4 linked regions of the Callithrix jacchus genome follow. The protein of the gene in region 2 purifies or fractionates together with the protein of the main gene of each other region. This does not show direct contact. Links are inferred from orthologs where the notes say so. Each region holds a gene or a part of one and is shown on either strand. Other genes may lie near its edges.

Region 1 (3,724 bases), on a different chromosome or scaffold from region 2:
TTGATCTTTAGAGGTGGGAAACAGAAGGAGAATTTGTGGGAGATGTTAGAAAAGGGAAAGAAAGAATCCCGTCTACATCCGTGGGGTTGGTTAGCTCCATTCACAGGGACAAGGAATGAGGAGCTGCTCCTCTACCTGAGATGGGGAAGACTGAGGACACAGAGTAGGATTCAGAGGAGAAAATGAAGGTGAAAGTAGAAGAGACTACCAGGGAAAGGGGAGGAAGATCCTTTTCAAAAGTTGGAAAAATGTAATTTCATGTTTGCCGTTAAAGCTCACTTACGATGCATACAAAAATAAATCCTTTAAATGCTCTTTCTCAGTAAATTAATAGGTCACCAGTTGTGCCCTTAATAGAGAAGTCTTTTCCTCCAGTGTAATTAATTGCAAAAGCTATAGGTAGCTGTTATCTTTCAGATCACAGTTTTCAGAACTTTGCACTCTTGGACTGTGTGGGTGGAAGATTCTGAATTATTAAACACAAGTCGTAATTTAGTTTTTCCTCACACATGCTGTGGGCTCTCAGGGAATGCTCTTTTGTGAAGGACACATTGTGTAAATGATTTGTGGGCCAAGGTGCTCTGTGCGGAGCAGGGGTGGGGACAGCAGACTGTGGCCCTTCTGAGGCAGTGTCTTAGGTCAGATTCTCCCCAGGCCAAGACAGACAAGCATGCGAGTCATGGATTGAGGGAGGGTTCTCAGGAGAACACTGAGGGAGGGAGGGAGGGACTCGAGACGGAGCTGGAGGAGAAGGCAGGTAGAGGCGGGAGCCGGTTCACCTCCCCACGGGGAGCTCTGGAGCGTGAGTGTTCTGCAGGGTAGGCCCACCGGACGGAAGGGGGCTGGGCTTCTCTGCCCCTTCACTAGTCAGTCATTGTCCACAGGCTGAGTGGCCAAGGAGTGAGTGTTTCATAACCTCCGGGGCTGGCTACAGGTGTGTGAGTTTTAACAGCCAGCACCTGCAGCCTAGAGGCTCAGCCTGCCAGCTGCTGTGGACCGGCCACCAGTAGCATTTGCTGCAGGTGGTAATGCCCTTCCCATTAGCGGGTCTCTGTGTAGGAGCATGTGTGTTGAGCTGTGGAGATAATGGTGTTCATGGTGACCAACTTTTATTGAGCACTTATTGTGTTCCAGGTGCTGTTTTAAGCATTTTAATACACGTAGCTAATGTAACCCTGGGTGCTGTCATTTTCATTTTGCAGATGAGGAAACGAAGTCTCAGTGAACTTGGGAAACTCGCCCAGGTCACATGGCTCATTAGTGCTGGTGCTGGGATTCTAGCCCAGGCAGCCTGGCCCTGGAGTCTGGCTCCCACACCCTGAGGTGCAGTGGGGATCAGGGCTTAGAGTCCGGGAACCTGGTTTGGCTTTTTGCCCTCAGCAACCACCCAGCACCTGCAGGTGACAGCAGCACTGAGTTCAGAGTTTTCACGAAGTCATGACAGAGATGCAGGTGTCCACTCTGCCCTTGGCCCTGGGTGAGAGCATGAGGCTATTTACGGCACTTCCTCTGCCCCCAGGGAGCTGGTTTCTTTGGAAAAACACTGGGAGCAACAACAAAAATTATACTCAAGTGCCACGGCGGGTCAACGGGAGGGAAATAAGACGTCCCATCTTTAGAGTGAGCTGACAAGGAATTATCATTTGGATAATTTCTTAGAAATTCTTGCTTTTAGTTTTGCTTACTTTTTTAATATGTAAGCATCTGAAAATAATTTACTTGCCTTAGAATTTGTTTTTTTGAGGCTATTAGTGTATTTTTACTAAATGAATAAATGTTATCTCTTGTTCAGCAAAAATTGTCTTATTTGACATTTATATAAAATGCTTTCTCAAGTGGATTTAAGACAAAACAGTCTTGTGGCTGTTGTCCTTTGTTGCTGGTTGAATCTCAGCCAACACAAGTGATCGTAGTTGGTACCAGTCAAGGGGAGAGGTCAGGGCTTATGATGTGTGCTGTTTTCACATTCTATGAGAATTACCGCTCGTGCCAAAGTCTTCTTCCTCTTATGCCCGTATCAATTTATTTGAGGCTGTTAGAACCTTAGTTTTGCAAAGTACTTTACGATTCAGTATTACTCTCTGGGACTGCTAAACTGTGTTCCATTTTCTCAGCTTGACATTTTTTCCCCTCTTGTTTTGAACTTAAGCACTTCTGCAAGGAAAGAAAAACCATAGTGTACAATAAAAGCTAAACTATTTACAACCCTGTGTTTGGTGCAGTTCGTTTTATGTACATTTCGTTCCATACGACTTTAGCGTCCTTCCAGCGTTGGAATGTCAAAGGACCTGCTTTCTTTGGGAAAGCCTGCAGTCTCCCGTCCTACCAGCTTTCCGATCTGTCTTCTCTGTGGGAGCCAGTTTTTGGCCCCGACTCTTCTTCCTGTGGCCCCTTAGTCTGGCCGGCAGCAGTGCAGTGGTTAAGAGGCTGGGCTCCAGAGCTGTACTCCCTGGGTTAAGCTGCACCTCTGCTACCTGCCGGCTGCATGACCTTGAGCAGGTACCATAGTCTGGTAATAACGGCAGAATAAAGGTATGATAGTGCCTCATCATAGGGCTTTACGAGGATTCAGTGAGACCTGAGGCATGTAGGGCTTGCTTGCCATACGTAGTAAGGGCTGCATACATGACGGCGGCCATACATAGGACTTCTGCCCATTGCACTGACCCCAGGGTTTTGGCTTGCTAATCCATAGATGACATGGCCTTTGATGTGTCCTGGTTTGCGGTGCACTCCTTCGGTCTGGACAAGGATCCTGTGCTCCTGTCTTCCCTGGATCGGAAGGGCATTGTGACCACCTCCCGGAGGGAGTGGAAGAGCGACATCAGCCTGGAGCGCGTGAGTGTGCTGGAATTCTTGCTGCAAGTTCATGGCTCTGAGGACCAGGACTTTGGTAACTACTACTGTTCCGTGACTCCATGGGTGAAGTCACCAACAGGTTCCTGGCAGAAGGAGGCCGAGATCCACTCCAAGCCCGTTTTTATAACTGTGAAGATGGATGGTAAGCATGTCACCCACATTTCTCAGTGTTTGGGAATGTCTTCTCTCTGTGCCAGGCTGTAGCTGACAGAACCCAGGTTGCCACAGTTGGAGGAATGTGCCATAGCATGTCCTGGTTTCTTTGTAGACCTGGCCTGGACCTGCACCCAGAAAGAGCAGCCCTTGCTGTTACCCCAGCTTTGATATTATGTGCTGGTGCCACCATTGAGAAATGGTTTTCAAGACTTACTAGAAAAATTGTCAAGGCTTTGCCTCTACGCTAAATTTATAGAAACCCACTTTACTGTGTCCGAGGGTTATGGATTCTGCCAGGCACAGGCAGAGAGCAGCCTTGAGAGAGATGGTTCAGGTCGATAGCAGAGGCTATAGCTTAGGGACGTGCTACTCTCACTACTACTGGCTTCGCTTCTTAAAGAAAAGAGACTCCACTTGAGGTCACTGTACAGAGTGGGTACTTCTCAGAGCCCCAAGATGGGAGGGTGAGTTCCCAGCCTCACTGACCCATGGTGAATACCAGGGTCGGCCTAACGAGACAGGCAGAGCTTTGTTCCCTGAGCATCCCAGAGTGGGGACAGTTGTTCCTTGGTTTCCAAGAAATGTGTCTCCTTCGTGGAAAACTTCAGAAAGTACGTGTTAGCTAAAATCACTCCATGGACAGAATTAAAGTCCTGGGGCCTCTGAGGATGAGTTGAAACCTTGTGAGTGTTTCCCTAGTGATTGGTCA
Region 2 (4,164 bases):
AAGGCCCACATCACGTTTCAAATGCCAAGTTTATAAATGCCTGATCTCAAGGAGAAACGGAAGTGGTGACAACATAATCACCAAGCAGTTCCCTTGGGTTACAGCTTCCCTTAAGAGAATTTCAGGTGCTTCATCCCACCCTTCTCCCATTCCCACTCAGCAGCCAAACCCAGTTGGGTAAGGTAATCCACTTCTGAGACCACCCTGCCCCATCACTTTGGAAAAGTCACCTAACCTCTCTGGAGAGTGGTTTCCTGATCGACAGCACAGGGACAACGCTTCCTGCTCTTGGCTACATCACAGGACTAGAACAGGAAAGAACTCTGAAGACTAAGACTGCAGAAGTAGACTCACAACAGCTTTTCATTACATTGTTTCCTAGGGGATGAGGGCTTCACCTCCATAGGCTCCCAGATACAGGACAAATGAACAATAATTCAGGAAAGCACAGCTACTGCCCACCTTCCTGCCTCTGATGAAGATGGAAGAGGACAGAAGTAAAGTAGGCGGCCCAGGGGTTGTACTACTGGCTCTGTGATCCGGGTTAAATCACCCAGTCTCTCTTCCTCTGCTGCCTCACTATGCATAAGAGGGCTGGACTGCACGATCTCCAGAGTCATTCCAAACATATCCAGTGTGAGTGATTTCTGTTTCAGACTCCATAACTCACCAGCTGTACCTACGCCAGGGCTGGGGGCGGGGGGTTCTGAATACAAATAGGGTGGCAGGCTGGGGACAGTATGGACAGATTGCAGGCCAGCAGGCCACAGACAGAGCAGATACCAGGTGGCCCTAGGAGCCTTGCCTCAGCTTCCTGCATAAGCCATGGGGCAGATGGGGGGAGGGAGGCACACTGTGGCCGTCTGTGTTTCCCTACAGCCCCAAACCTCGATGCAGTCTAGGCAGACAGCTGAGGACTAATCAACACACCGGCAGGAGAGACTGTACCAGGGAGGGGAGAGGAAAACTCCCAAAGGTCCAGGGTGGGTGAGGCCAGCTGCCTTCCCACATAGTTCTCTGCTACCAGGGATTGACAAGAGGAAGAAGCTAAGCCTGGCACCTGGCTGGCTGCTGGGGTGGGTGGCAGCACAGGAGGGGGTGCCCACTGCAAGCAGGGTCTCCTTAAAGCAAGTCAACGGTTGGAGCAGACCTGTGTGCTGTCCTCACTAGGGTATGTGTTGGGTATGGTGACTGATGAACCAGGGCAGGCCACTCTTTGCAAGTTAAACCACCCCTTCAGCTCCGGGGAGGAGTAAATCTTAGGACATTTGGTTATGGAGGCTCTGGGGACCTCAGTGACCAGCTCCAGGGGGAATAAGTGCACTTTTTTTCTTTTATTTTTCTTTTTGAGACAGGGCTCACTCTGTCACTCAGGCTAAGTATAGTGGTGCAGTCATGACTTACTGCAGCCTTGGCCTCCCAGGCTCAAAGATCCTCTCATCTCAGCCTCCTGAGTAGCTGGGATCACACGTGTGTGCCAACATGCCCAGCTAATTTTTGATTTTTTGTAGAGATGGGGGGGGGTCTCACTATGTTACCCAGGTTGGTCTTGAACCCTGGATGAAAGCGATCCTCCTGCCTCAGCCTCCCAACTTGCTGGGATTACAGGCATGAGCCACTGTGCCTGGCCAAATGCACTTTTTTGTTACAAGGCTCTGGTGGCATGCACCTGTTTCTACATCCATCTTGAGAGTGGCACAGACTACCTCTCTATACCCTTTCCTGCCTGCAGAGAGGCAAATATTGTCACATGTGTGTAGGGAATGTGGCTATAGAAACAAGGACACAAAGGTTTCCTATTCCTTGCTTCTGTCGCCTCTCTGCCTTTCCATTTGTAGACGCTAAGTGGCATGCAGCGGGTGTCCCTGGAACTCCCAGCCCCGCTGGCCTCTCGAGATGAACGTCCGCTCTGCGCCCTGCCTGGCCTTGGGTGGGCCGGTTGGGAGGGGAGGGGACGAGGTTGAGGCCCTCCCGGGAGGGCAGCCGGCTGGCACCTGATCTCTCCCGGAAATGCACACACAGGACTCATCCCACTAGAGGCGCAGATAGGCATCTGCCCGTCCTCTCCCCAACTCTCAGAGTTCTCTCCAGTGAAGATACTTATCGCCCTTGAAAGAAATCAAGACAAGCTAGTCTTTCAGGTAGCTTCTAGGGAGCTTGGCGCTCTCACGGCGGCTCAGAATCCTCCTGAGGGCGCGGGGGCCTGCGAGGTTCCTCCTCAAGGGCGGAGGGGCTCCTGACTCTGACTCAGGGACTGGGTCCAGGGGCCGCACCCGCCGCCGGGACACCCCTTACGCTCCTGTGTGAAAGTGAGAGCAGTTCTTGGCTGAGCTCTCGCCTCGCCCGCACCCTCCCTTTCTAGCGCCCCCTACCACCTGGGAGACCCCACCCGGCCACGAGACGCACTGCCCGCTACATCCTCCTTGGCCTAAGGAGGGGTGTCCCGCTTCTCCCAGCCTTCCCCTCTGGCACTCGGAGAGGCTTGGGCTGGGAGGAGACACACAGCCCGGCTCAAACCCTAGGCGAGCGATAAAGGGCTCAGGACCTGGCCGCACGCCCCTACTCAGGAGGGCCGAGCTCCCACACCCGCTGGGCGGTGATGAGCCCGCACCCGAATGCGCCCGTCCCGCCCGGCTCCGGACCCGGCCTTGGAGCCAACTGGCAGCCGCAGGGGCCTCTCTCTTCCCGCCCGGAGCCTGCCCGGTGCGGGCAGTGCCAGCTGCCGGCACCCGCGGCCAGTGTCCGGGGCCCGCCAACAGGTGGCCCCGGAGATGAGCGCGCGGCAGTCGCGCTCACTTACCCAGAAGATGAAGTTAAATCCGAAGAGCAGGTATTTGATGCACTTGGTGCCTCCTTTGACCGGCATGGTGAGGGCTAGCCTGGCCTGGGCCGAACGGGTGCGGGACTGGGTGGCGCGCGCAGCTGGAACGGGCGGGACCCGGCGCTGGACAGAGATGCAGGCGGCTGCGGGCTGGCCTCGGCTGCACTTTTTTAAAAAGTGCCACTCCTTAGGACGCTCGACCCGCTGCGGTGCGCATGTGCCGGGAAAAGCCGCCCCCACTCCCCCCGCCGGCCACGCCTCCCGCCCCCAGGCCACGCCCCTGCCGCACCCCGCCCCGCCCCCGCCCAGGTCCAGCGGGCCCCGGCCTCACCCGCCCCGCGGAGCCAGATCCTCTCCCCGCCTCCCTCACCCACAGCCCCGCCGAGTCGCCCTACCCACCACCCGCCACCCACTCCTCCTTCCAGCCGCCTTGGTCTTTTCAGCCGCCACTCCCTGCCACTTTCACCGGCCACTTTTGTGGAGGCCTCGCCCTTCCGGTTCCCCAGCGTTCGGTCTGGGCGCCGGGCCCGGCGCTTTACTTTGAGAGACTCTCCCCGGGTCGTATGTGCTAAAGGCCCCCTTGCCCGAGGCCGGCTGCCAGAATGAGGGGTCCTTAAGCTTTGCGAGGATTAAAGGGAAGCCGCCTGGCCTAATTTCGCCCCCGGCTGTCTCCTTGCAAATCTTCGCCCGCTGGCCATACTTGTCGTTGGGCACAGCACGTGGGGTAGGAGGAATTAGAAGCGCGCAGTCTGGTGGGTAGACCGATGGAAGGCTTTTGGAAGTAATTAGCAAGTACCTGTCACCGAATAACAACAGGGCCGAGGGCTGGGCAGTCCCCAAGCGCTTCCTTAACTTGAGGATTAGTGGCCCCAGAGGGTTTGTCGCCTGCTGCTGTTCTCTCTCTACCCCTTCGCCCCACCTTCCCTCCTGCGTCTTTGGACTTGCTGCCTTGGACTGCTCCAGATGCCGAGTTCGGAGCGTTTCTCTTCAGCTCAAAAACTTTCTGTAGCTCTCCAGATTCAAGGACCTAAGTCGAAATTCCTCGTCCTGCCTTCAAGGCCCTATACAGCGCACTCATCTGCCTTCTGCCGGACCCGGAGTCCCGCCCCTACCCGGCGGTCACAGTGCCCAGCTCTGCGCGCGCAGGCTGGCCTGCGCCCTGGCTGGCTGGCTCTCCCCGCGGCACTTGTAGAAATTTTGTGGGGCTTTAAACACTCCTTTCCAGATTCTCTGGACTGGACGAGGAGAATCCCCTTATTTTGAAGTCTCAGAATCCCTTTGTATTTTTTTCAAAATGAAGTTGCCTTTTTTTTTTAGACGGGGTTTCACCATGTTGGTCAGGC
Region 3 (3,724 bases), on a different chromosome or scaffold from region 2:
TAAGCACCATGTGAGAAAGTGTACCTAGGGGCAGGGCTGACCCTCAAGCTACCCCTGTTTTTACTTATGCACCAGGTAAACTCTTAAGATATCACATCTTACAACCACTTCAAGCCCTTTACTTACCTCCACAAATTAAGCCATTGGATCTATCACAGTTGAAATTATCACACTCGCAGAATTTGCCAGAATAAATTTCATTTGTATTATCCCTCTTCCTACAAACACACTGTCCACAGATGCACTCTCCATTGTTACTGCAGATTTCTGAACTGTTTTCTTTCCTGCAGTAAGCGTCCATATCTTCACTGTTGACTTCATCTGTGCTGCATTCACAATGCCTACCAACACGCCCCTCGTTGCACCTGAACAAAGATTCCACAATTGCAATCACACAAAACAAAAATAATTTAAAAGAGAAATACTAGGAGAGGAAATAAAACTACAAAAAATATCTCTGCGAGCTACCAATCTATTAGATGGGATTGTCCATGCCACACATCATAGATGTGTAGTGAAGTGTACACACATGTGCAAGCAAGGACAAATACACAGGCGTGCACATACATCCCAGTCACTCAAGTTTCTACAGAATATATGCAAGAGTCTAGGAAAAAAATTTCTTCAGGAAAGTAACAACTTTGGTGAAGATAAAAATATATCTAGCAATAAATTATGAACAACACATGTGGAAAGGCAAAATAAACAATTTTAGAGTATGTTAGTTACATTTTTAAATGGTATGCTATTACATTTCCTATTCTAGGTGAACTGTCTCTAAATTTAAAACAACAATCTATTAACCTAAAGAAATATAATAAACACATGCAAAAAAGTGTACAGAAGTTGAAGAAAAGTGTACAGAAGCTGAAAAAAACATACTGTGTATACTATTTAAAATATAATATACCATTTAAAAATAAATGTATCCTACAGGTACAGACTTTTCAGAATCCCTGTGTATTTTCAGAACATATAATGCTCACGCACACTGAATGCACTGATTCTGTATCTAGTAAATATACAAGCAAAGAAAGGCAAAGTATTTTCAAGATAACCTTTTTGGTTAAATGACATTTTACTAAAAATGGAACTGGCATGATTCAAACAAGATATGGAAAATTTAAAAATTCTAACATTTAAATTGTTATTCAGCCCAGACACTGAAAAACTCAATAGCCCTTCTAAGCCTAGTCATTTGGGGTTGACACCGGATTAAAACACTCTCCCCTCCTCCTATTCTTTTATGGAGAAGGCTGTATTCAAAGTATACTCAGTTCTTATTTTTCAATTAAAAAAAGGAACCACAGTGTGAAAATAAAATCTGAAGTAATCTTGTTAGTTTTCTTAGTATTAGATTCTACATGCTAAAAATACCATTTTCTCTTTATTTTACAACACATTATTTTTAAAATATTATTCCAACAATACAGAAGTACATATAGTACAAGATAAACATCTTCTATTGCTTTATAATTCCATTTCCCAGATGAAATCATTATCATTGGTTTGATGTTTTTTCAAAACATTTTTCTATAAATGTATTTTATACAAGCTTATTTTGTTCTAGACAATTCAGATTGCTCTCACATGAGGGAAATGCTATGTTAACTATTCGTTGAATATACTTCTTCTATGGCTATAAAAGCTTTTACTTTAAAGAGTAATTAAGCAGAAAAGGCAGGAAGGAGATTCCTATAAATATCACACATAAGATTATCAAACTGATCTTGTGGCAGGCAACCATGGTTAGAAAAAGCATTTGCTCTGAATAGAGAGATATTCTCTGGATGTCCCAAAATATGACCTGCCTCTATGCTCTAAACCAATGTAGCCCTTTCTTCCACTATCTGACAATGACCAGCTTACCTGCATGCGCCACACTCAAACGTCCCGTTTCCTTCATGACACTTGGGACTTCCGGGGATGCCTTCGCTTTGGCATTCACATTCACAGATGTACTGAAGAATAACCTCTACTTCCTCCGTAAAGCCCAGAGGCCTAATTTTAAAGGCGTCAGAATCCTTTTTTGGACATTTATTTGAAGTTATGCTAATTTCAAACTGAACCTTGAAGGGAAAAAAAAAGATCAACAACCAATTAAGCAATTTAAATCTACTAAAAATATTTTAAAAAGCTTCTCACTTAACATTTCTCAAAGTATAAACTAAATTTGCTTATAAATAAGCAATGTTTTCTTTTCTACAGAAAATGCTTTATACAACGTACCTCATCTCCAATGGAAATATTGGAACATTTTCTTCCATTTTCCCCTGTTCCATTCACCCCATTCTTGCAGTAAGATTTGTAACTTATTGTTACTCCTTCTGATAATTTGCTGTTTTCCAAAATGACTTCTGAGGAAAGGGACTAAAAGAATGCCTAATTATATACAGGAAAGTCAACAAAATGCTACTTGAATGCATAAAACCAATGGATAAACTGCTCAGAAAAGAATTATTTCAATAAAATATTTACAGGCCAAATCCAACTGAGTAACTGGAAAACACAGACGCTAGAGAAACAGGTTTTAATTAATAAAGATCCAATCTTCAAAATAAAATACACAATTCAAAGGAGTATTCCTGTTTTAATCACTGAGTTAAAATACTCAGGATCACACAGTACAGAGGGCTGTTATTAATTAGGAGGAGTCTTAAGAATGTGGAATAGGCCAGGCGTGGTGGCTCATGCCTGTAATCCCAGCACTTTGGGAGGCTGAGGTGGATGGATTACCTGAGCTCAGGAGTTCGAGACCGGTCTGGGCAACATGGTGAAACCCCATCTCTACTAAAATACAAAAAAAAAAAAAAAAAAAAAATTAGCCAGGTGTGGTGGCATGCGCCTATAATCCCAGCTACTTGGGAGGCTGAGAAAGGAGAATCGCTTGAACCCAGGAGCCAGAGGTTGCAGTGAGCCAAGATTGGTGCACTCCAGCCTGGGCAACAGAGGGAGACTCCATCTCAAAAAAAAAAAAAAAAGAATGTGGAATAAATAAATGCTGTCTTCCCCACTGGCAAAATGGTGTTTCTGTGGTCCTACCCCTCCAGCTAACTATGGACTAGAGTACACAATCAACAATGCACTCTAGGAACAAATTTGCTTAAGGAACCATTGTAGCCCAGCCAAAAACCAAAAAACAAAATCCCACAAGAAGGAGGGATTCAAGCCAGGGCTTGTTGAAAGTATAAAACTATTCAGGGCAAATGGAGCTGCAGCAGTGGCAAGCTATCTCTTGTTCATACCCCTGAAAAGACAGGAATTAGGAAAATTATCCAAGACCGGGGAGGATGGAAAATCTGTGGAACAAATGAAATCTTAAAAACCTTTGTAAAAACCCCTCTGAATCAGGCCTTTCCAAAGCATTATGGTACCCCATGGCATGAGGTAAAAATGTTTAAAATTCAAGCTGCCAAAGGGTTAGAGGGACGGGGGCTGAAAGTGGCGCATGCAACACACAGGGTTACCATAGTATTACAACTGCCTTCAGATTATTTAAGTGATTATTAATTAAGGCTAACTGGGCACGATTAAAGTATACTGAATTATGTTCAAAAAGGAGAAGCAAATTCCTCTTTAATTTCAATTCAACACCCTCCCATCTGTGGGTAGAAAAAGAACACTATAAATCTTTTTGAACTGGTGAATCATATGTTTATTTACATTTTTACAGAGTTAGTGGTATATGTATATATGAATGTGTATGCTTCCTGAAATAGAAAAC
Region 4 (2,728 bases), on a different chromosome or scaffold from region 2:
GGATCTTCTGCCCCCAGTGCCAGGGCAGAGTCTGGATCTTCCTCCAGAAGCCCCAGCTGCCTGGGCAGCCCTGCAGGGTGAGAGAAGCAGTGAGCTCATGGCACAGCTGGAGGGGGGAGGGCATTGTATGGTGAGAACTGACTGGGTCTGTGCCCTTTCCAGCTAGGGCCACTGGCTCCATTGTCTAGCCCAGGTGACAAGCTGAGCCAACTAGCCCTTCTGAGCAAGACTGCCAGCTCCCCTCAAGCAAAGGAGGGAACATGTAGTCTCAGAATCCCCCAGCCAGAAGGCTCCCCTGACCAGGAGGAAGGAATGGTAGACATGGAGGTAGGTGAATGGCAGGGACAGATCAAGGTTCAGTTGGAACCAAGGCCTGGTTAGGTCAGGAATCAGATGTACTCCTTTCTGCCTTCAGGCGCTCTGCTTCTAGTCTGCCAGAAATGGGATGCATCTGGGTGCCAAGGCAATCCTGGGCCCATACCACCTCCTCGAGACCCAAGTGTCTTATATCCCAGCATCTGTTTCCTGTTCTCAGAACAGGGTCCAAGCTGTGGACCAACTTTTCCAGGTCTCCTTTCCTTTTATAGGCAGAAGTCAAGAATGGTGCTTGTGGTGGCAGAGGGCATAGAATGGGGAACCAGGCATCTCCAACTCCTTTTGTCTTTCCCTACAGGAATGGGATGCTGGGCCCGGCAGGTGCTGGTCCCTGAGGGGCCCTTGTACCGTGTGGTTGGAACAGCTGTCTCCATCTCCTGCAATGTGACTGAATATGAGGGCCCTGCCCAGCAGAACTTTGAGTGGTTCCTGTACAGGCCCGAGGCCCCGGATACTGCTCTCAGTATTGTCAGTACCATGGATGACCAGTTCCACTATGCGATCTTCAAGCCCCGAGTGCTGGCGGGTGAGGTGCAGGTGCAGCGCCTACAAGGGGATGCTGCAGTGCTCAAGATTGCGCGCCTGCAGGCCCAGGATGCTGGCATTTATGAGTGCCACACCCCCTCCACTGATACCCGCTACCTAGGCAGCTACAGCGGCAAGGTGGAGCTGAGAGGTACTAGGCCCTGGAACAGGGTGCGGCCACACACCCTCTCAAGGCAGGAGGGACACAAGTGACCTATCTAACTGCCCCTTAGGTTTTGTAGCCAAGGAACTCGACGCCCAAAGAGGTTAAGTGACTTGCACAGTCACCCAATAACTCAGTGGCTGGTGTGGGACTCAAACCCAGATTTCCTCACTCCAGGCCAGTGCTCTTCTGATTATATCAAGCCCCCTTCTGGAAGAAGAGCCATCCAGTCCCCTTTCCATTCCCAAGAATGAGGAAGACTGATGGGTTGAATAGACTCTACTGGACAGTACAGGACCCAGATCTGGGAAAGAGCGTATTTAGGGAAGGAGTCAGGCCATGTGACATTCTCACTCTTTTAAGTTTCTTTGTCTCCTGGAGAAGGAAGACAAAGCCACTTTTCTTGGTATTTCAAACAGGGGTCAGTCTTGAACGTAAGGGTGAGTAGGCGATGGGCTGGTTCTTTGAAATTCAGCAAGTATTTATTGAGTGCCTGTGATACGCCCAGCACTGCGCTTGGCACCACTGAGTTACAGAAGAAATAATACAACATGCGATCTTTGCCCTCTGGGAGCTCACAGTCTATTTAGGGAGATCGGCCCTGAACAGGAAGTAGTAACAAGGGCTGCCAGCCCCCAGCCCTCCCTCACTCCAGCTCTTCTCTCCAGTTCTTCCAGATGTCCTACAGGTGTCTGCTGCTCCTGCAGGACCCCGAGGCCGCCAGGCCCCAACCTCACCCCCACGCCTGATGGTGTATGAGGGGCAGGAGCTGGCACTGGGCTGCCTAGCGAGGACAGGCACACAGAAGCACACACACCTGGCAGTGTCCTTTGGGCGATCTGTGCCCGAGGTGCCAGTTGGGCGAGCAACTCTGCAGGAAGTGGTGGGAATCCGGTCAGACTTGGCTGTGGAGGCCGGAGCTCCCTATGCTGAGCGACTGGCTGCAGGGGAGCTTCGACTGGGTAAGGAAGGGAGTGATCGGTACCACATGGTAGTAGGAGGTGCCCAGGCAGGGGACGCAGGCACCTACCACTGCACTGCCGCTGAGTGGATTCAGGATCCTGATGGCAGCTGGGCCCAGATTGCAGAGAAAAGGACTGTCCTGGCCCACGTGGACGTGCAGACGCTGTGTAAGTGCCACATCCCACTGTGGGAGCTGGGAGGGACAGTATGCTGGTGGGCACTGTGGCCACAGGGGGTACCAGATAGCCGTCATCTGACTCCAAGGAACTTATCTTCTAGAGTGAGCATCCCTGTTAGCATTGCTTCCCGCTCTGCCCTTGATGAGTTTTCTCTGCTCAGTAATTGGTTATAGAGTTAGGAGGGCCATGGGTGAGGGGTGAGATTCAAGCCCCCGAGTAGAAAGATGGTCATACCCCGTGAGAGGCAGACGGGAAGCTTTGAAGCTGCTGCTGTCAAGGAGAAAACACAAAGTTGGGGAATCAGGTGCCTCTTGTCCCCTCCTGCCTCTGTGACACCTCTTCCCCTTCCTGTGTTTTAGCCAGCCAGCTGGCAGTGACAGTGGGGCCTGGCGAACGTCGGATTGGCCCAGGGGAGCCCTTGGAACTGCTGTGCAATGTGTCAGGGGCACTCCCCCCTGCAGGCCGTCATGCTGCATACTCTGTGGGTTGGGAGATGGCACCTGCGGGGGCACCAGGGCCTGGC

The links.
Region 1: the proteins of CD9 (region 2) and PTGFRN purify together in Homo sapiens (co-immunoprecipitation; 8 studies listed by BioGRID and IntAct, with this or other methods). This does not show direct contact. The link is inferred for Callithrix jacchus from reciprocal best matches to the Homo sapiens genes CD9 and PTGFRN.
Region 3: the proteins of CD9 (region 2) and ITGB1 purify together in Homo sapiens (co-immunoprecipitation; 5 studies listed by BioGRID and IntAct, with this or other methods). This does not show direct contact. The link is inferred for Callithrix jacchus from reciprocal best matches to the Homo sapiens genes CD9 and ITGB1.
Region 4: the proteins of CD9 (region 2) and IGSF8 purify together in Homo sapiens (affinity purification with mass spectrometry; 5 studies listed by BioGRID and IntAct, counting the BioPlex papers as one, with this or other methods). This does not show direct contact. The link is inferred for Callithrix jacchus from reciprocal best matches to the Homo sapiens genes CD9 and IGSF8.

Annotation. Positions count from the first base shown.
Region 1 is NC_133508.1:154,991,620-154,995,343, forward strand, and holds part of PTGFRN (prostaglandin F2 receptor negative regulator), read left to right. Parts: intron 1-2,695; coding exon 2,696-3,001; intron 3,002-3,724. UniProt on the Homo sapiens protein: Inhibits the binding of prostaglandin F2-alpha (PGF2-alpha) to its specific FP receptor, by decreasing the receptor number rather than the affinity constant. Functional coupling with the prostaglandin F2-alpha receptor seems to occur.
Region 2 is NC_133510.1:19,806,077-19,810,240, reverse strand, and holds the start of CD9 (CD9 antigen), read right to left. Parts: upstream 2,969-4,164; 5' UTR 2,867-2,968; coding exon 2,801-2,866; intron 1-2,800. UniProt on the Homo sapiens protein: Integral membrane protein associated with integrins, which regulates different processes, such as sperm-egg fusion, platelet activation and aggregation, and cell adhesion.
Region 3 is NC_133508.1:32,605,930-32,609,653, forward strand, and holds part of ITGB1 (integrin beta-1), read right to left. Parts: intron 2,371-3,724; coding exon 2,230-2,370; intron 2,070-2,229; coding exon 1,870-2,069; intron 366-1,869; coding exon 127-365; intron 1-126.
Region 4 is NC_133519.1:20,039,780-20,042,507, reverse strand, and holds part of IGSF8 (immunoglobulin superfamily member 8), read left to right. Parts: exon of another isoform or gene 1-327; intron 328-673; coding exon 674-1,051; intron 1,052-1,731; coding exon 1,732-2,193; intron 2,194-2,564; coding exon 2,565-2,728. UniProt on the Homo sapiens protein: Member of the immunoglobulin superfamily (IgSF) that links tetraspanin-enriched microdomains to the actin cytoskeleton and plays several important roles in innate and adaptive immunity.